Linked DNA regions of Yarrowia lipolytica. The protein of the gene in region 1 binds, or shares a complex with, the protein of each later gene. Links are inferred from orthologs where the notes say so. Each region holds a gene or a part of one and is shown on either strand. Other genes may lie near its edges.

What was found.
Region 2: YALI1_E28465g (region 1) and YALI1_F09265g share a complex: the UniProt entries of both Saccharomyces cerevisiae proteins name them as parts of the RNA polymerase I (Pol I) complex. The link is inferred for Yarrowia lipolytica from reciprocal best matches to the Saccharomyces cerevisiae genes RPC40 and RPA43.

What each region holds. Positions count from the first base shown.
Region 1 is NC_090774.1:2,842,210-2,852,950, reverse strand, and holds YALI1_E28465g (uncharacterized protein), read left to right. Parts: upstream 1-6,418; coding exon 6,419-7,438; downstream 7,439-10,741. Other genes in the region: YALI1_E28504g (uncharacterized protein), read right to left, coding at 2,200-2,436, 2,487-2,543; YALI1_E28491g (uncharacterized protein), read right to left, coding at 3,517-3,717, 3,774-3,779; YALI1_E28490g (uncharacterized protein), read left to right, coding at 3,907-5,037; YALI1_E28439g (uncharacterized protein), read left to right, coding at 7,494-7,634, 8,879-8,944, 8,989-9,060; YALI1_E28428g (uncharacterized protein), read right to left, coding at 9,085-10,152; YALI1_E28425g (uncharacterized protein), read left to right, coding at 10,252-10,413, 10,461-10,676. UniProt on the Saccharomyces cerevisiae protein: DNA-dependent RNA polymerases catalyze the transcription of DNA into RNA using the four ribonucleoside triphosphates as substrates.
Region 2 is NC_090775.1:920,993-931,192, forward strand, and holds YALI1_F09265g (uncharacterized protein), read right to left. Parts: upstream 5,565-10,200; coding exon 4,698-5,564; downstream 1-4,697. Other genes in the region: YALI1_F09211g (uncharacterized protein), read right to left, coding at 1-160; YALI1_F09230g (40S ribosomal protein eS12), read left to right, coding at 2,091-2,093, 2,306-2,731; YALI1_F09282g (uncharacterized protein), read right to left, coding at 6,257-7,228; YALI1_F09289g (uncharacterized protein), read left to right, coding at 7,964-8,494; YALI1_F09314g (uncharacterized protein), read right to left, coding at 8,882-10,200. UniProt on the Saccharomyces cerevisiae protein: DNA-dependent RNA polymerases catalyze the transcription of DNA into RNA using the four ribonucleoside triphosphates as substrates. Component of RNA polymerase I (Pol I) which synthesizes ribosomal RNA precursors.

The DNA.
Region 1 (10,741 bases):
AAACATGAGACCAGATGGAGGTAGAATGTGTTCGTACGAGTATACATACTAGATATAGAGCTATTGTTGGTTTCTCCTCTGTTTTGTAGCCTCCCGTCTACTGCTACAAGTACACTACACTCGTACTGGTAGCTAAAAGCAAATGCCAGCCTTCTTTAGTCACACGCGTAAGAGGCTGGACTGTCTTTCCTGATGAGTTTGTTGAAGTACATAGTACAGCAAAAGAGACTGAGTTCGGTGTCTCATTCTTATTTTCAGGTAGATATTGGTATACTCTTGTAGTCCTTGCGATGGTTTTGGTACATACTGGTCAGTACATAGGTGCAAGTACACAGCCTAGTCTGAGTGTTGTAGTAGTTGTACAACCGAGGATGGGCCAGCAACTGCGAGTGGACTATGTATGTACTGTACTTGTAGAAAGGCTTTATAGACGCTTTGTGGCGGCTTCTTGTCATCTGCCGCTCGATTCAGTTTTGAACAGGCACATTTCGTGTCTCAGTATACGAGCTAACCTGGTAGTGTATATACTTGAACTTGTACACTGGTCCATCCTTTTTCGAAGTGGGTAAAACTGACAGAAAATGAATAAAGAAAAACAATAGATAATAGCTGACGCGTTTACACATGGGCTGGGTTGTTTCATCGCCCACAAAATACATTTGCGCCCTTACTCGTGTCCAAATTACTCTCACTCGAACTCCCCAGTCAACGGTCTCACATGCGATTAGCGCGAGGGGTGACAGGGGTGCAAGTCGCACAAACATGTAGCAGATGGAGGGGTGGCTGAGACTACGGGCCTGGGCTATGCTTGGCAGGGGTGGCCATGTGACGTAGGGAGCTTTTTTGTCAGTGTTGGAGCTGTTGGCGGTACATTGTTGGTTGTTTTCGGTGCATCTCCGACTTCTCCGAACCAAAGTCAAACCTGAGACAATTTGGCGGGGAGCTGGTGAGGAAGGCTGGACATGGTTACTGAAGAGGAAGACTCATGGGGGATGAAGAGGGAAAGGCATGAAAGAGGAAAAGAGCTGAAAAATGAAAAGAGCTGAAAGAGGAAACGAACTGAAAGAGGAAACGAGCTGAAAGAGGAAACGAGATGGATTGATGGAGAGGGAGAGATCTGGTCGGGTGATAGACAGCTATTATTCGGGCTTCTCATTCGGCTATTCGGAGATAAGACAAAAAACTGTTTTTAGCCCAATCTACGCGCTAAGGTCAATACTCCATAACCCGCCCAGAACCCGCCCAGAGTGTATCAGTCACGTATTCGAGAGTACGAGTAGAGTAGAGTAGCACTGGTGCACCCGTGCCCTTCATGTCTCTACATTTCGCCTCAAATCGCTCCAAACGGCACAGCAACCATGTAAAGTGAATCGGGGTCAACAGATGGTTAGACTGCTCAGCTTTAATTAGGGGGCTTCCAATTATAGCCTGGGAAGTCAGGGTCTAGCGGCTGTACAGTTACGTATTGTAGTCGGAAAAACGGAGAGAGCCGATTGAGAGCGACCACGGATTGATGTCATAACTCTTGCTGCGGTTTCCCCGTCTTTTTTCATCGCTTCTGGTGTCTGATTTCATTGGCTGGAAATGGCTGATTCAGTCCGCACAATCTTGTACACCACTGTAAATTTACCCGTTATTTCGGCTGGCTAAAAATACATGGCCAACCACACTGAGTTCACACAATCTGAGTTAAGTTGGAGGAGGATCAGACAGCAAAGCTACTGCAAGCTATAAATAGGTAATTTTGGGGGCTGAGGACGTCGGTTGCTGGGACGGGGAGAGGATATTGTGCCAAACAAACACGTGATTCGGCCTCTACGCGCCCCGCCGAGCTCGTCGGTACCCGATAAACGCGCTTTCCACGTCTTTTAGACCCAGAAAGGTGACCGAGTGCGTTGTAAATTCCATCCATGCACTCCCCAGAAGTTGCGTCATAACGTTAACGGGAGGAGGCTGTTTGGAGGTTGGAAAATTCCCAAGAATTGGAAAAAAAACTGGAAAAAACTGGAAAAACACCAGAAAAAACCAGACTCATATGTTTTTGCCCTTTTAACATCCTTTTATCTACTCTTAATATTCGAAACTGCTCCATTACGCCCGCAAATCTGCCTAGCATTTTGCTGGTCTGGAAAAAACCAAAAACGCATCGCAACCTTGACCGACCGTCGTTACCAACGTTGTTACAGATCCCCCTGAATGCTAAGAGATGGGGCAGTGGTCCACAGCAGCAGTCTGGGGCTGTATTTTGGGGCTGAAACGTGCGTGGTGATGGAAGGTGACTGCTGCAATCTCGCTGACAGCCCGAGTCTCACACGTTAATCCTCTCCTTAAAAGCACTGCCAAATAATATCCCAAGTGCGTGCGACACACACGACGGATTATTATCGTTGGTAAGCTGCAGTCAAGCGCACTGGAGACAATTGGAGCCACCTCGGACTAGCTAATGTGCAAAAAACACATGGTCCGGCATACGAAATGTGCAAGACACCGCGGTGGTGTGGCTGATTGGCGCCAACAGAGTCAGGTGATTGAAACATGCCCATCCAATGGTCGACTGTACGGTTGTACAATAGTCCCATGACCCTGTCAGATGGTTCTCACCACCCAGTGGTTACCCTCACACTGCCCCTCGCACTGCCGATCTCGAATCTTAACATTCCAGCTTGCAGGCACTCTCTTCGGGGCTCTGGCTCTGGACTGGCTCTGGAGGTGGCACGAGCCGCTTGGGGCGTCTAACTGGCCATTCAATTTAATTACCGCTTGCAGCTTGAAATCCTGTCATGTGACATTGCCGCGGTGTGAGCGATGACTCTCAGTGAGACGTGAATAATCCTGTGGCAAGGTGCAGTATCGTACTGGTACTGATGGGGGCATGAGAGGGTATATATAGACGGTTGGGAGTGTTTGGGAGCAGCTAGATTGACGTGTGAAGTTCCCCATCACAACATCAGCCATGTCACATCCCCAAAATACATATATATGTGCCCTCCTCGCGGCCACCAGCATCCCCTTCACCATCGTCCTCCTACTCACAACCCCTCACTATTTACCTCACCACCGTAGCTCCAAACCTTGTGCAGAAACCTTCAGGCTCAGCGCAGTGCGAAAAAAAAAAGCTTGGACGAAAAAAGGCAAAAGGGGAAAAAGGGAAAAAGGAAAAAAGGCAAAACGGCAAACCAAAACGAAACCACGGTTCAGGAGCTGCAATTTTCTTCATCCGGCATTTTCATTTCTCTACGCGACTTTTCACCAGCATCCAGTTGCACGACAACTTCCTCACCCCAGATACTCTTTTCTCATATCGAGAACACGCCGCCGAATTGTACTCCGTGCTTCTCCTGGACCACGACCCCGTACTTTCTCTCTCTCTCACACACAAGACTTTTACACTCACTTGAGCAGTTTCGACGCCGATTCGTTTCCCCTGTTTTCGACGACAGATACCGACTCTTCGACATACGCACAAGTACTTGCTACACCTCGACTGTGACACGACTGTGAACCCGTGAATCACCACTACAAGTAGAGACTTGTTACCCCCTCCCCCCAGTCACTAAAGCCGATTAAATCGTACAATCGACTCCTGACGTGACCCGTCCTCTCTTGGAATACCCGCCTCCGACCACCGACCTTGCACGCGCTGTTCCCCCGAGTACAAAACCTCTGGTTATATCGCTCACCGGCCCCGTTGCACAGAAGCACATTTTCCGTTCCCCCCTACGTCTAACTTCACATCTCTCTCTCCCGACTTAGTGCTTGTCTCCCAACCACACACACATACAAGCAAGGCTATTTTTAAAACAACCTTGTAGCCGGAAGAAAATCTAAACACGCGAGATCCAACAGAAAGTCAAACCGCAAGGCCTCACAACGGACCATCACACCAGTTCAGATTGAAAAACAAAAATGGTCGCCGCAAAAATCGTCTTTTCCACAGCGCTGCTGGCGCTAGTGGCCGGCGCCGCCACCGATGCAACCTCCAACAACGTTGCAGACCTCATGCAGAAAATTGTCGAGAAGGACGCTGTCCCCACCATCACAGACCACAGAGAGCCCCCGTTCGTGGTTGTTGAGAAACGACAATTCCAGGGCAACCAGGGCAACCAGGGTAACCAGGGTAACCAGGGAAATCAGGGAAATCAGGGCAACCAGCAGAACAACGCCACCTCCTCCATCCCCACCAACTCGGGCTCTTCCCAGGCAGGAGGCTTTTCTTCTAGCTCATCCCCGGGCTTCTTTTCATCCACGGAGATTTCTTCCACCGAGTCTAGCTCTTTCGCCGAGTCCACTTCCTCCGAGTCCTCCTCCCGGTTTGTGCCCTCATCCACCTCGACCTCCTCGGAGAGCTCCAGCTCTGAGATCTCTACGTCGACCTCCTCTGAGAGCTCCTCTACCACCGAGTCCTCTACCACCGAGTCCTCTACCACCGAGTCCTCCACCACCGAGTCCTCCTCCACCACCGAGTCCTCAACCACTGAGAGCTCCACGTCTGCATTTGTCCCCGTGCCTACCACGGAGTCATCCTCTGAGGCTTCTTCCTCTGCTTCTCCCTCTCCTACCTCGACAGAGTCCTCGGCCTCGCCTTCTCCCTCCACCACAGAAGGCCCCTCGTCAGAGTCTTCCACTGAAGTCACTTCCGACGCCGTGGTGTCGTCCACCCTAATCGACGCGTCCGGCGGCCGAACCACCGTTATCATGACCCTCACAAACACAAAGGTGACCTACGTCGGGTCCACAACCACTCTGCCTGTGGAGACCCCCACCGCAAGCGGAGTCACTGGCAACAACAACAAGTCTACGGGCTCGACCTCCCACACGGGCCGAAACGTCGGTATCGGTGTGGGAGTGGGTGTTGGTGTACCTGTTGTGGCAGCCGTCATTGGAGGTCTGTGGTGGTGGCGACGAAAGCGAGGAGGAGACACCCCCATGTACGACAAGGACGATCTCATCAGCGGAGGCGAGGACTCCAACGTGTTTCGATCCAACATTGACCAGTACCATGCGCCTAACCGGGCCAACTCCGCAGCGAACTTTTAAGCATGAAGAGTTCCACTCGAGCGCTTCCTTCCTTTCTTTCGCCTGCATGACATTGCGACCCAGTCTGATTGATTCAGACTGTCGGTCGGCTTTGGACCACTTTGCACTTTGCACATAGCTAGCCCAGCACATTAAAATACCCGGCACGTTACCCTTGCTTAACTGACCTAGTCAGTGGCTGTATTCAGTTAATAGATGATTTATGATAGACTAGATAGTGAGAGAGGTGTAGCGATGGGGTACGACAGTAGGGAGTCGCTGTTGATTCCACAGCCGTATGACGATGGGCAGTATCACCACATTGCGAAACCCATTGTGTGTTCAGCGATAGCGAGGGAGATATCTCATGAGGTGAAGTTGGAGGGATACAACTAAAAGCCATGCTCGAGCAGAGAGACATCAGGGTGCGTTGTTTTGGGTCTGGGAATGGCCATTTGATGGCTCATTCACTCTACAGGGAAGTGGAGCATTCCAGAACACATTCTTCTTTGGCCGACAGTCGCAGAAAGACAGTATTTTAGACGGTAGTTGTATGAGGGCAATGGGAAGGAATGAGAAGGATGTTTTAGAGATTCTGGAGATTCACAGTTTGAAAAAGGCTCACCCTACAAGGGCATGGAGTGGTCTTAGGTGCTATAGAACTCCAGTACATAGTTGTAGTGCTTGAAAGCTGCTGAAGGGGACTTTTAGGGATAGGTTCTTCCTGATTCCAAAGTCTTGAAAGACATATTGTCTATGACTACGTACATATTCATCTAGCAATGATAGTATCTACACTCCTCATTCAGTTCCTGATGAGAGATTGTGGCCTGTTACCCTTCAAGGAGATTACTGGTAGGTCACTAGGAGGCCAATAACAGCTCATTAACTAACTCCAAGTGAGTCCGAGGCCTCTATGATTTTTCTTTCAATTGAAAACGCCATCTTAGTCGTTGTGTCTTACTGGCGATGGCTATATGGCCTTTTCCTACAGTACCAATATATCTCCCTTAACCGCTTTACTACTACTCACAAACTACTTGGGTTTGTTACCACAGTTTAGTTATGTTGTGGCCATTATATATTAAAATATTATAAAAATATAATTATGGTTATAAAATTAATATATCCGGCTTTGTTCCTGTACTGCTCACTCAGAATAGAACTGTACAACTCCGCTCTGGTAAGTCATAGAAACATTCTGAAAAGTGCGTTTGGTTCCAAATCCGACAGGTAATTATATTATTCTCTTTTATCACCATGGAACTCTTTTTTCGTCCCTCTCCACCCTCTCAACCCTCATTACTAATCACCGTCTTCATGCACGTCCTGCAGAAAACTTTTTAGCTTTGAATCTTTTCTGCCGACCTTTTTATCCTCTACAACCACACAAAACCACACCATGACCAGCCTTGCTAACCGCAACATTGTCGGCATCGAGTCCGATCGAGTGACAAACGTGACTTCCACGGACTTCCCTGGCCACTGGCCTGGGGCCGACGACGCCTGGGACCTCGACAAGTTCGACAAGAACCTGCAGGTGAAGATCCATTCCCTGACCGACAATTACAGCAACTTTGACCTGATTGGCATCGACACGTCGCTGGCCAACGCCTTTCGACGAATCATGATCGCAGATATCCCCACCATTGCCGTCGAAGAGGTTTTCATCCACGCAAACACCTCCATTATCCAGGACGAGGTGCTGGCCCACCGGCTGGGTCTGGTGCCTCTGGTGATCAACCCCGAGCGAATCAACGCCCTGCCTCGAGGTCTGGACGCTTCCGAGATCGAGGACTACTACGACGACTCCAACACCTTTGTGCTGCGGCTCAATGTCACCTGTGAGCGACTGGCCGACGGCACCATGAAGAACGCCCACATCTACGCACGAGACATCACCTTTGATCCCATGGGCAACCAGTGCCAGTGGGTCAAGGACGAGGGGCTGGAGAACGTGTTCAAGGTCGCCAACCCCGACATTCTGATCGCCAAGCTGCGACCCAACCAGAGCATCAACCTGACCATGTTCTGCCATCTGGGTTTCGGACATGACCACGCAAAGTTTTCTCCCGTGGCCACCGCCTCCTACAGACTCATGCCCACCATCACCATCACCGGTGACATTACCGGTGACGAGGCCAAGAAGTTCCAAAAGTGTTTCCCCAAGGGCGTCATTGAGCTGGAGGGAGGCAAGCCCGTGGTGGCCGACGCCAGAAAGGACACAGTGTCGCGAGAAGTGCTGAGACACGAGGAGTTCAACGGCAAGGTCAAGCTCGGCCGACGACGAGACCATTTCATTTTCAACGTCGAGTCTTCCGGAGCTCTGGAGCCCGACGAGATCTTTCTCAAGAGCGTCATGGAGCTGCAGGCCAAGGCCCAGACGTTGAAGGCTGCTGTGAGTGGATACATGCAGCAGTAAGTGAGCTGGTCGAACCGCTAATGAGTAACACGCGCACCCAAGAGCGTAGCTGTTGATGGATCTTGTTGATGGTGTACATTGGGGGTACTTGCACGAAAAAGGCTGTCATTACACTGAGCTCTGTTCTACTACTAGTAGGATGGAAGGAGAAGGGAAAAGGATATATAGAGGAGGACTAATTGATAATGTAGCATATGTTGTATCCGTGGATTTGTATGTGGGACCGGAGCTGGAGATGGAGCGTAGGGTTCGGGAGTATAAGTGTGAATGAGAGTAGGATGCTGTTGTTCTTGTCGGTATAGTCGTTGTTCTTTATAACCGCCCCTCATCCGCTAGCTTCAGTATTAGTACAGATATAGCCCTGCCGACCACAGTTGTTGTAATACTTGGCCGCAAGTTTGGAGTCCGAAACCGAACATAAAAGGTCATTTATGAGTCGGAGGCGAATAAAACGATCTTTTACGAATCTACTGATGTTCTTCTCAACTCCATGTCTCCTACTGTAACTGCTCCACAAGTCTACACTGGCCAGAACATCCAGAACCAACAATTCTTCAACTATCGAAGAAAGAAAGAGATCTAAGTGATGAGAGACATCTATCGACTATCTAGTTGAACTCGGTAGACCAAACGGCCCTATATAGCCCTATATAGACTCCAATGGAGTAATGTATACGAGGTGTATAATGCCGAGGAACAGAACAATATATACTACATTTTGTACTCTGACGGTTAATAGGGTGTTTACTAAACGATAGACGACAGCGGAAATCTCTCTAGACCTTCTGCAATACTCCAGAGCGAATGTTGACTGTTTTGACCCTGACGTTTTTGTCCATACTCGTGCTCGGATAAATCCGCACTCGTTTATATGGCATCACTATTTCCGTCAAGAGAATCGCTGTAAGTAGACCGAATTGTCCACAGGGCCCTTCCAATTCCAACGGTTCTATCATCTTCACCCTCTGTCAAACAAAATATTTGAATATCAGTCACTGTACCTTTTCTGCGCATTTGTAACAACTTCTCCCTTCGCGATTATGTCCACTCCTCCACAATCCCACCGATAACCATCACCAATAGCCCTCTTTGGTCCAACCCCGCCTTCTAGCTCCTCTGGTCTTCTCTCTAGCGCGCCTTGGAGCTTTAGACCGCAGTTCCTGGACTAGAACCGGTCCACGGATGCCCCTAATGCCGCATTGGAGGAGTTCTATATGGGCAATATCTGACATTTATGAAGCGGAATAGACCCCATCCACTACGTGTAGGGCGAAGGAAACAACCACATCACTCTCTGGACAGCCACAGACCCCACTATCTGCTGTAGATGACCCTCCTACACCAAAACAAAACCGTTAGCATTAAATGTACACATTAAAATAAAAAGCCCGGGCTACTTGTACAGTAGCACCCGGGTATACTGGTGTTTTTTCGGACAAGGCGCTAAAAAACAAACGCGCCCGTCTCTGCTTTCTAACACCGCCTTGCCCCTCCAGAAACGCCAAAGTAGGTAACCCATATGAAATCCGTTTTTTTCATGACCTGTCCAGTCATATCATATCCATAGTTGCATCACTTTCGAGATTTTCCTCATGTCCTCCTTTTTTCCTCGGTCATCGTGAACGAATTACGCCCCCGCACGTGGTTCATCGCCTGAAAGCATACGCCTTGTGATACTGTGAGTAATCATCCAAAGGCTGGGTGCTCTGGCCCTGTGTCTGCTGTACCTGTGTGGTCTGTCCATACACATTCTGCTGCACAGTTTGCTGGACCGTCTGCTGCACATTCTGCACGCTCTGGATGCTCTGCTGTACCTGCTGCTCGTCGTAGTAGTACTCAGGGTAGTAGGGCTGAGCGTAAGGAGCAGGCATGGAGGTAGACAGGGATGACAGCGACGAGTTGACCGTGGCTGTCGACGTGGCTGTAGGGCCGCTCGGCTGGATGCAAGTGTCGCCAAAGTGGCCGTCGCGGTTTTCAAACACCACCTTGAACAGAATGCTGTTTTTGAACAGCATGTCTCTGACCTTGGCCCGCACGACCGGTGAGGTGATGTTTTTGCGGCGGATCTTGCTGAGTTCGGCCGCCACAAACTCCCACTTGGCCCGCTCGCCGTCGTCCAGCAGCGCCTTGAGACCCATGTTGTCCTCGGGGTCCCAGTAGACCGATCCGGAGCCTTGTTGGCCCATGAGCACCTGGTATCTGTTTCGGGCGGCCAGCGCGTTGTCGCAGTGTGCAGCCTCGCCAATTTCGTGCCATCCCTTGCCGGCCTTTTTCATGCTCAGAATGATTTTGTCCTGCTCGGACGAGTACTTGGACTTCTTTTTGGGACGGTCCGAGTTGGCCGACCGCATCACCTGCATGTTGGGGGGCACAGCGGCCGCCAGAGGGGGTAGCGATAAGGTGAGAGGGAGCACTAGGGGCGGAGTTTGGGAGCCATTGGCTGTCGGCGTGGGTGGTGGGCCAATGGGATTGCCTTCGGCATCTCGATTAACGTCCGTCACCAGCGCTATCGACGAATGCGCCTTGTAGTAGCGGGGGGTATCTGTGGCTGTCTGGGAGGTGTGGTCCAGCTGGTCTGCCGAGCGTTTGAGAGAGGGCCTGTCTGTGTTCATGACGGTGTGCATGTGGTCGTCGTGTTTGTGAAGTCGCGGTAGCGGCAGTCGGGGAGCCTCGTCGTAGTTGTACCCGTCATGGGGAGGGTAGTATGGGTGCATGGTTGGCTGTGTGTGCGAAAGCCGAGTAATGGCAGAGAAATGAACCGGGTCTAAGTTATTGCGATGAAAAAGATGCGGTATCTGGGTTGAGTCTGTCGAATGGCAGTTTGTGCACGGTCGTTAGTTGTCTGCGTCAAGTGTGTGTCTGAGCCTGGTGATGTATCTCTGTTGGGCAACTTGGTGAGTGCACTGGAGGTTGGTGTTTTTACTGGTACAGCGCTCACTGTAAGGTATCGTGTGTCTGTTAAGGTACGTTCTTCCGTCTGATATCGTATCTGGGTGTCTCGTACAGTGTATGTGAGTGTCAGGGGTGGCAGGTAGGTAAGATTGGTGTGGATGGGTTGTCAGAACGGTGGCTGATTGGTCGTTCTGGACAGTTGGTCGTTCTGGACAGTTGGTCGTCAGTGGTCGTCAGTGGTCGCCAGTGGAGGTTGGTTCTCGTCACAAAGCGCTGGCAACTAAACGTCTGGCAATTTCAACTCCAGTCTTGTGCCCACAGTCCACAGTCGTATGGTGAATGTTAGATCCCCTATTTCATGCACCTTGTCTGCTCCAAGGTTCGGTTTAGGGGGAGCGAGAGGCGGCGTGG
Region 2 (10,200 bases), on another chromosome or scaffold:
GGTGTCGGGCCTGGCGCGTTTTCAAAAAGTCCTCCATCGCGTCGGTCACGGTATATAGCACCTGGTTGACCGCGTTGATGACATCGTCGACCACAGCAATCGGCGCATAGCCGAAATGCTCTGTCAGAATGCTGGTAGTGCGGATAAACGAGTCGTTCATGGTCCCGCAGCTGTGGTGATGTGTAGTCGCGTACCACTTGGTGATGTTGCCTAAGGTGGTTTGGGTTCGCAGTGCATGACCGGAAATGTTAGGCAAGATACCGAAAGAGAGAGATAGTGACTAAAATGGCGGTATTCAGTGCAATTTCTGGAAAATTGAATAAAAAACAGAAAAAACACACAAAAAGAATAAATGTGATCCCAATTTTCAATACCTTCAACTGCTTAAACCCGTTATGCTCGCTAGAATGTCTCCACTGTGGAGATTGTAGATCTTGCTCACACAGGAGGATGATAGGCTTGAAGGCATGGAGGTTTATGAGATTAAAATGAATTAAATTAATGATATACAAGTACACATAATCTCGTAGCAGCAACATTCCTCATGTGCACAAGCAACGGCGGATCTAAGGCGATCTGTAGTCTCGTACAAGCGGTCCGTGTGTACTTGGACGGTGAATACCATAGATACAGTATGTACGTAACAGTGTCGCACCTCAAACCAATGTCTCATGTCTACTCATAGACAGACCGTAATTACTCGACAAACCCGAAAACATGTCTTACTCAACGCCGTTAAAATTTCTCGGCCAAATGGCGGGAACACCTCGTTAATCGACTAGACAAGGTCTCACCGCACATTTGTCTCGGAGCTACTTGCAGCACCACACAAGCACTGATGGAAGTTATGTGGACTTTAGGTGTTGGATTTCTCCGAGTTTTGTCCGAGACAAAGGTCAGAGACTGTTCTTTTTCGTCCCGCAGCGAACTCTTGTAGATCGACCCTGGCTGCTTCAGATACACTTTTTAACGCTCGTTTAGAGGGGCCAGTAGAATTCAATATTGGTAGACAAGGGGCGATACAAAAAGAAGTAATGGCTGCTAGTATTTCTTTTTGTCTGTTTATCCGGCTCTGTGCACTCCGAAAAAAGGGTCCCAGGCAACCAGCTGTTGCAATACACCATCGCCTGAAGTGCAGTGGTTGTATCTTCACATGTTTACACTATGTCTCATGCAACCACTTCCATATGGGGGTAGAACAACAGAGTAAAAGAGTAAAACACGCTGCGAGTGCGCCAACATGGGCCCATGTCTCAGTCTTGGGTGAGATATGTTCCTCCTGCACCTCTCTCGTGTGCAGGGTCAGCAGCAGCCTGTTTCATTTGCTGAGACTCGGTCTCAAGACGAATACGAAGTGCATAGGACGGCTTGAGGAATCAACAAAACTGCAAACAATGGGAGCAAATGGAGAAAGCGGAAGTTGGTATCATTCTCAGTGTATTTGGGCGGCTGCTTCCGTTTGTTGAAGCGACTGAGGGGCTATACACACTGTGCTGTACAAGTACCTGTACACACCGGTGCAGTATGTACTTGCACTTGGTGTAGCAGCTATGGGGTGTGTCAATTGGTAGCACGAAAAATAAATGAAAGTCACTTTACATTCCCTGTCTCTCTACGGGCTACCGGAATATGTATTTTAAACGGCTGACTGAGGTCTATCTGGAGCTCCCGATATAGTTCAATCGCCTTACAAAAGGCTTGAACTGTAGGTAAATGTTCGACTGTTGGGGTTGTTCAGAACACAGTTTTTGCACGGACATGATCAGGAAGTTTAAGAGCACGTGTGGACGCGGATCTAGGGTGGATTTTTGAATAAATATATTTTTATCGAGACAGTCACATTATTTCATGCCCGGAAATACGGTGAATCTGTGTAGTGTGTTCCAGATAATAATTTAATACTACGACACCACGAATCGAACCCACGACACCCAAAACTGCAGCCGTCCCAAATCGTCACCAGGTCACATGATACTTCCCAATCGGGAAAACAGTCACACATGCGTTCACCCAAATAATGAAACTTTTCGACGTTATAACTCTCCAACAAGACTGAACAGTTCAGAAATTGTGAGGAAGTCCATTTAAAAATGGTGAGTATGACAGAGGGAATCACGAGGCCATCTTGGTGAGGATGTCGAGCGATCCAAATGGAGAAACTATGGGATTTGTCTCATTTATTTGCAAGGAAAAATGAAGCAAATCATTGACATAATCTCTCGAGGTCGCTCAAAAAGCATCCAAATCGTTATCCGAACGAAGTCGAAACAAACGACAATCACTCGCTGCCATCATTCTAACCCAGTCTGATTCTGAAGTTATCGCTGAAGTTGAGGTTGCCGCCGCTGCTCCCTCCGGAGGACTTACCCTCGAGGATGCCCTCAAGACCGTCCTGAAGAAGGCTGTCATTAACGACGGTCTCGTCCGAGGTCTGCGAGAGTGCTCTAAGGCCCTTTCTCGACGAGAGGCCGAGCTCTGTGTCCTGTGTGACTCTGTCACCGACGAGTCTTACCTCAAGCTCGTTGAGGCTCTTTGCAACGAGCCCGAGGAGAAGATCCCCCTTGTCAAGGTCCCCGATGCCAAGCAGCTCGGTGAGTGGGCTGGTCTCTGCCAGCTCGACCGAGAGGGTAACGCCCGAAAGGTCGTCGGTGCTTCTTGTGTCGTCATCACCAACTGGGGTGAGGACTCCGAGGCTCGACAGTTCCTCCTCGACTCCATTGCTTCTCAGTAAATGCGTTGCAATCAAAAGCGTAAGCAATAAAATGCCACATGGCTTATTTAATATCTGAGAGATTGTAGACATGTAAGAGTAGCGAGTGATTGGAGATGTGTAATGGCAGTAAGAAAAGTTTTGCATGGCTGTATGTATCGCACATGTCATACAGTACCACAACCATGAGATCTGCTGTGGCACTGATGAATGACGGTCTCAGGATCGGGGAAGACATACATCAACACAGTTGTGTATCAAGGATGTTGTTAATTGCAATGTAGGACTTCTGCGGCACATCGTATTCGCCGAAGAACCTCCTGTACAAGTAGCTAGGGAGACACATACTCTGAAAGCCGTGCACATTCGGGACCCTCTCGGTCAGTGAGACTCGCTGATGACAGTTCAACCAGGGTCATGATCTATGGAACTCTTATCTGCTTCCTATATACTGTAGATGGCCATAGCCTTACACAGCCCTCTACCCGACGATATCTAGCTGTGATAGTGCTTCCTTCTGACACTTCTAACGAGACAAGTGGTGATAAATGTTATACAATTGAGTCTCACGGACGCCACACTGATTATTGATGTACATACTGTATTATTCGCCAGTGTTAGTACAAATCATTCTGGACATGAATTGTGTGTTGGTGGAACATAATTCGGTTTGTACCAGTACATACCTATATAAAAACATATAAAAGATCTAAAAATCTTAATGAAACATGAATATATGATACATTCAGTAGTCTTGTATTATTTTACTGAATAGAAAAGTCAATAGTGTATCAAGAGAAGCCCCTATAACAAAGAAACAGCTCTTTTTTCGAGTTCCTGTTTTGAAACAAATCTCATATCCCCTCTTCAGTTATCATTGACTCTTCCTTTTCCATCATTGGCAGCAGGCCATATCAATGGACCATGAACAACACCTAAAGAAGCAGTTGCAATGGACCAGGGGTCGATAAATTCAAACGCTGAATTTGCAGTCTTGCAGTCAATAGATATAGCTTCCTTGATATCAACTCCACACTTGGTTCTCTGCCCTCCATATACAAGTCCAAGTACAAGTGCTCTAGATATCCCCTCTAGACCATCCTTTTAGCTTCCACCATAGCAAGTATTACACTAACTGTATCGATACAGCATATGTTCCACTCCTTGTGCTTGTAAAAGTACAAGTACTTGCAATAAACCAAAAAAAGAAAGATAACACTACCCAATTCATAGTGCTTATTCATCAATTTGATCATGTTCTAGCTATGCCAACCACCACCGTGTAATCACATCTTGTTGTATTGGCTCTCGTTTAACGAAATCTTGTTGGTTGCACTTGTCATGCACTTGTCATGCAACTAAATGCAAGGTTTCAATAACAGTCCCACTTGGGATATACTGAACTTGATCGAGTGAAAAAAAGTGCTGATAACTGGACCTTTTAGTACTAAAAAGATGTGCAAAAATAAACCAAATAGTATTCAGAACGAAAAATGCGAGTAGATTGGCATACCTTAGAGTACCACATGTAATAATAACTTTGCGAGTAATGGTCGTTAAGTGTCATCAAACTGTAGCTGAAAGGCAACCAATACTCAGGCTGTACTTGTATTGTAGTCGGAAACACCCCGGATGTATTATCGGCAAACGTCTCACAACTGTCTGGCACTTTTATCCATTCATTAGTATACTCGTCCTTCTATGGTGCACCTCTATTGTGATGAGAACATTCATGAGAGACACTAAACACAGTATATACTACAGCAAGACTTTCAACACAAGTACAATACCACACATCTACACACACCTAGGATATACTAAAAAGTGTAGAAAAACAAGCGCTTGAGCACTCATCCCTCCTCCACCTCTCACCGTTAGTTATATATACACTCTATGCCCTCCTTTTTTCTGAACGTGCTCATTTCAACATTGCTTTTCTGAGCTCCCTCGCCTCAGCTCGCTTCTTATCTCAGCTCGCTCTCCTCCTCTAATCACTGTCGCTATCGTCACTTGCAGCACTGTCGCTATCATAGCCAATCTTGGCCTGTGCGGCGTCCTCCTCCTTCTGCTCAACCTCCTTATCTTCCTCCTCTGCCTTTTCCTCGGCAATCTCCTCGATGGGATCCTCGTCTGTGAATTTCGTCTTCTTTCGCTGGGGCTCTTCGCTCACAGCGCCCCCTGACTGTGCGGGATAGGTATCAACCAGAGAACCAGACAGGTAAACCATGTTGGCAGTGTGAACGCTCTTGATGATGAACTCCAGCTTGCCCTCGACTCGCTTGCCAGAGCCGTCCGACCAGTAGCCCATGGACTGACGAACTCGGTCCTTCTTGGCGGCTGTCGGCTGTCCTGACTCAGCAAAGGGAGTGAAGACCCAGTCCTCAGGAATGTTGGCGTACTTGATGGAACAGTTGAAGGTGTCGTGGACAAGAAGACCGATATGAGAAGGAGTCTGCATGTTTACGTATCCCTCCAGACGGTCGCCGACCTGAGGCTTCCACACAAGAAGGTCTGTACTAATCCACATGAAGGTGAATGGGGACTCGTTGACAAACTTGCCCATGACAGCAGAGCCCTCAGAGTCGCTTCCCCGTTTGTACAGCTTGAGGTTGTAATGTGCCAGAACCACGCCGCCCGCAGGAGCAAAGTAGCGGGCCACCAGTGGGTCCAGATGCTGGCTTTTGATGCCAGCCACGGGCTTCTGGCTGAACATGGGCGCCAGAGACACATACATGGAGGTCGAGACCTTGTGGAAACACTCGGAGATTCCGGTGGCCGAGTCGACGGGGTTTTTACGCTTGAGAGCCATGCTTTTCAGCACCTCTTGCGTCTCCGAAATCGTTTTGGCGACCATGACGTTGGGGTGTTTTTGCAGACAGGATAAAATTCCAAATTTTTAAATTTTGCCTTTCCTGGTCACGTGAACATGCATGGTGGGAGGAAATTTGTCAAACCTGCAGCCAGCAGGACGCAGACAGGACTGGGAGACATAGCTGAGAATGATTAGTCAGTTTTATGATGTTGTGGCGGTGGTGGAGGCGGATTAGTCAGCGAATCGATACTGATGTGAAGAAGCACCATGTCGATTATACCACAGCCCGCGAGAAGCTGGTGGTAGTGACGAGGCTGAACGGAGGAGCGAGCAGTTGGTCACAGAGAGTTAAAATAACGCGGGAAATCTATCACCCAATATAGCTGTGTCTGCTTGTAGGAGATGTTAGCACATCTGTAGGTGACTGCAATTGAGTATTCCATCGTAGGAAGATGAGTGGCATGTCTGTAGTAGGGTCCATCAAACAGTTCAGCTCCAACACCGTGAAGAGCGGCGAGAAAGAGTGGGGTATCGTATGGAATCAGGTTAGCGATTTGGCGGATTGACATTGTTGGACAGCGGTCAAGGCTTCTTCACAAGGATAGTTATATGCCCATGTCTTGAAGTGACAAGTTGTGCAGTCAGTTACAGTAATGCACAGGTGGCCCGCTAATGGCATGTCCAAAGCAGTGCATTCGAAGTTGTCCATTCAGACCTTTAGGCTTGTACTCCCGTTAATATTCGTCATGAGCATTAAACCGAAAGTCCACAAACGTCTTCCTGGCCTCATCAACCACACACATACTCTGAACCGACAGTCTCCCGTACACGTCCATTCGCAGACACACCTTTTCACTGACCCCCACGGCCTCTCTGCACTTGACCAGCTCACCAAATAGGTATCCCGATTGTACAATGACGTTTCCCTCTGGATCCTGGTCCGGGTCGTCAATCACAAAGGTATCCAAAACATTTCTCTCGTTAGGATAAGCAATCACGTTGCGTCCAAACTCGCCCGTGCTCTCCAATCTGAAATGAGGAATCGCTCTAGTCTGAGCTATTATCCGCACATACTGCGACTTGGCACCTTCCAAATCACGAAGAGCCTGGGTCAGCAGATGCGCCGACAGAATCACCTTGAGAACCACCTCGCTGGGGTCCAGATTCAGACTCTCCGACTGCTTGTCTGTATCCTGATTCAGAAATTCACACGAAGTCGTAAACTGGTCGTTTCGAAACACGAATTTGAGCGGGTGATCTGGCCCAGAGTAAAGGATTCGACACGTCTGCGATGCTCCCGAAGAATCAACTCTTCGGTCCTCAGCATTACCTCCCGCTTTGTCACTAATCACGTCATTCTTGCCAAACATCTCGAGACACGTGGTCAGCGAAGCTAGAGACAATCTGTAGGGTGGAAAGAAGGCGGGCTCGTCATCAGATCCTTCGGCATCCTGATCGTTGAAGTTGTACATCGAAAACAGGTTTTTCTTGACCAGCACCACGGCCTGACTGGATCTGCTGTCCACATCCACGGTGAACTTGAACCCGTCAGACATGATTTCGAGACTCACATGCTTGGACATGAGCGCAATCGCCTTGAGAATCGTGTACAAGTGCGACACACATGTTGTTGTTCCTGAAAAGAGCAGTGTTGGCATGTGAGGTGGAGTTGATCTGATCAGAGTTAAATTCCAGAGCCAAAGCATGCAAGAAGCGAAGGGACTACTTGTACATGCCACTTTTTTGTTGTTGTTGTTGTTGTTGTTGTTGTGTGTGTCTGTCGTCTGGAAAGAGTCACGTGATTCTCTACTTTTTTTGTGACCACGTGACTACTTTCATTCTACTTCAGACACGTGATATATACTCCGTAATAAATGACCACGTGACCCGCCTGTCATGCTCCATATATTATCCACTATCCAACACTTGTATAACCCCTTTGGGCCGAGGTGCATGTGCGAGCTGGCTGCAGTTATCGTGGTTAGTGAGTAGCTACTGTAGGCCATTTGGTAAGCCAAAAGAGCCGGATTCAGCCTCAATCTCGTGATCCGGGATAACAAGAATATCGCGCACTTCTTTTTCATACACTCTTAACCTGTATCTCTCAATACAGTCAGTGACCGGTATTCGTACCCTTCTCACGGTTTGTAGGAGGGTTCTCCCGAAAGTTTAACGAGAGTCTTGTTTCTGTTGTATTGATGAAAACTGAATATGTGGTAGTCTGATTAGCAAACGGACTACACAAGAATATCTAGCGCGTTTCCTGTTTTCAGATGATACTTTTCCAAACCCCTTATATTCCTCTCCTACCCAAGTCACAACCTCCCGCCTTAGCTGCCGATATCACGTACATTGCGCATCAACAGTACCCCAACAAACCTTGAGTCCCCCGCTGTACCTCACACCCTTGCAACCTCACACTACATCTCCCTGTTACGACCATGGCCCCGCGAAAAACACGATTGCCCGCTGTCATTGGGGCCGCAGCTGCCGCCGCCGCAGTTGCATACCTCGTTTATTCGTTTGTTGCCAAGAGCAACTCAGACCAAGACACATTTGATAGTTCAGTACAGAGCTCGTCCAAGTCCAGCACAAAGAGCCCCAAGTCGACGGCCACCAATAGCAAAATCACCGTCGTGGTGTCACAGGAGCTGGTTCAATCGCAGCTGGTCGACTTCAAGCATCTGATGAGCGTCCATCCCAACCTGGTGGTCATTGTGCCTCCCATGGTTGCCAACAAGTTCCATCGGGCTCTGAAATCGAGCGTGGGACACGATCATGGCGTCAAGGTGATTCGGTGCGACACAGACGTGGGAGTTATCCACGTGATCAAACACATCCGGCCAGATCTGGCTCTCATTGCCGACGGAGTGGGAGACAACATCCAGGGAGAGATTAAACGGTTCGTGGGATCAAGTGAGGCTTTGAGTGGAGATGTGAATCTTGCTGCGGAGCGACTAACTGGATTGTAACGGAAGCAAATGGCCATAGGTCATGAGCTGACAACATCCAGTCTGGTTGCCATGACACTGCCACTCCATTGCGTTGGCCATACTGTGGAAAGGTACCGTTCTGGCTACGCTACCTCTGACTATGCCACCAACGTTCCAAGTGTAGACAGACTGTGTAAATAAATGGACTTATCGTATTGAATGACTGAAATACGTTACAAGTACAACTACAGTACAGTAAGTGATGTGGTACCCTTATGTATCTGTCAGTTTTACTCAAGTAGAATACCTCTGCGCCATTGTGATATGCTCTGAAAAAGGACCTACTGTATTCATTCAATGTGTTATATGTACCGTCTATATCTATTATAAATAAGGGGAGTTGTTGTGCATGGTGTCTACGTCTATCTATCTCCTCTTGCCCGTCATCTTGGTCAACTGATGCAGAATGTTGGACTTTTTGCCCTTCATCTTTGGTCTGCTCATGTCGATATTGTCAAACCTGCTCTTGGTTCGCTTTCTTCTCAGTAAACCGATAATCCACTGCAACATGTACGGCTTGCTGGCAGTGTGGGTAGCGGCGTTGCTGAACATGGCAATCTTCTGCGTCTTATGTAGCTTGGTAAGGTTGAACCACGTTACCAGCAGACCGCCCAGACACGCCACACCCACCACCAGAACCATTCCCTCGTTGGTTTCCTCAATGAAGTTCTCCAAGTTCATACCGTACAGCGCAGCCACAAAGGCCCCGACCGCAAAACCGACCGTCACAATGGTCACCTTGAGCTCCAACAGCATCAGAGCGTTTCGATTCGCGTCCACAATGATGTTGACAATCTCCTCGGTTGATCGAATGTGAGATCGCACGTTGGAGGCTTGTTGGACAATCTCATCGGCCTGCTTGCAGTACGACTCAATCAGCAGCTCGACTTCCGCAAGCCCTTCCTTCGGGTGAGTGCCCAGATACAGCTGCTGTAGATCGTCATCTGACTCCAGTAACTCTTCCAGGACGTCTCGAATCAAAACAGCCTTCTGGTAGAATCGCGACACATTTTTGTTTCCAATCAGCAGCTCCTTGAGCTGTTCTCGGTCCACATGATCTTCCAGACCCACCAGAATCTCGTTCAGGGTCTTAAGATGCACCTGAAGTTCTCCATCCAGAGTCGTCATAACGTTGACCAAAATCGCCTCCAGTACTCGCAATTCAAACGGCAGCACCGTCATGTCCGTATGCATCTTTTCTGGGTTGATTGTCGGCTTCAACTTGTTCTCCAGCTCGTACAGAAACATGCCCAGTCGGTGAGTATCACTTTTGTTCTTGGAATGGGTGTCGAAGATAAGCACCTTGTCGTGGAGAATCAGAGCCTTAATGTGTAACAAGTTGACAAGGATGCATCGTCCAGCTCCCTTGCGACCTCGTGCCAGAATCGAAGGAATAATAGAAACAGGGCTGGGATCAATGTTTCTCAAGTCTCGAGGGTAAAGGCCATGTTCCAGCAGAAACTCATACTTGGTCATTTTGTGTGCAACGTGGACCACCTTGCCTGTCACATCAAAAACCGTGGCCGAGATTTCGCCTCCCAGAACGGCCTCCGAATAATTGTCTGAAAATGCAAAGTGATGAGGGTCCTCCTCTTCCTGGTGATCTTTATGTTCCTCCTCGTCCATGTGTTCTTCGGCGTCGGAGATGTCTTCTTCGGCCGCTGAGTGTTCAGCCTCGAGCCTCT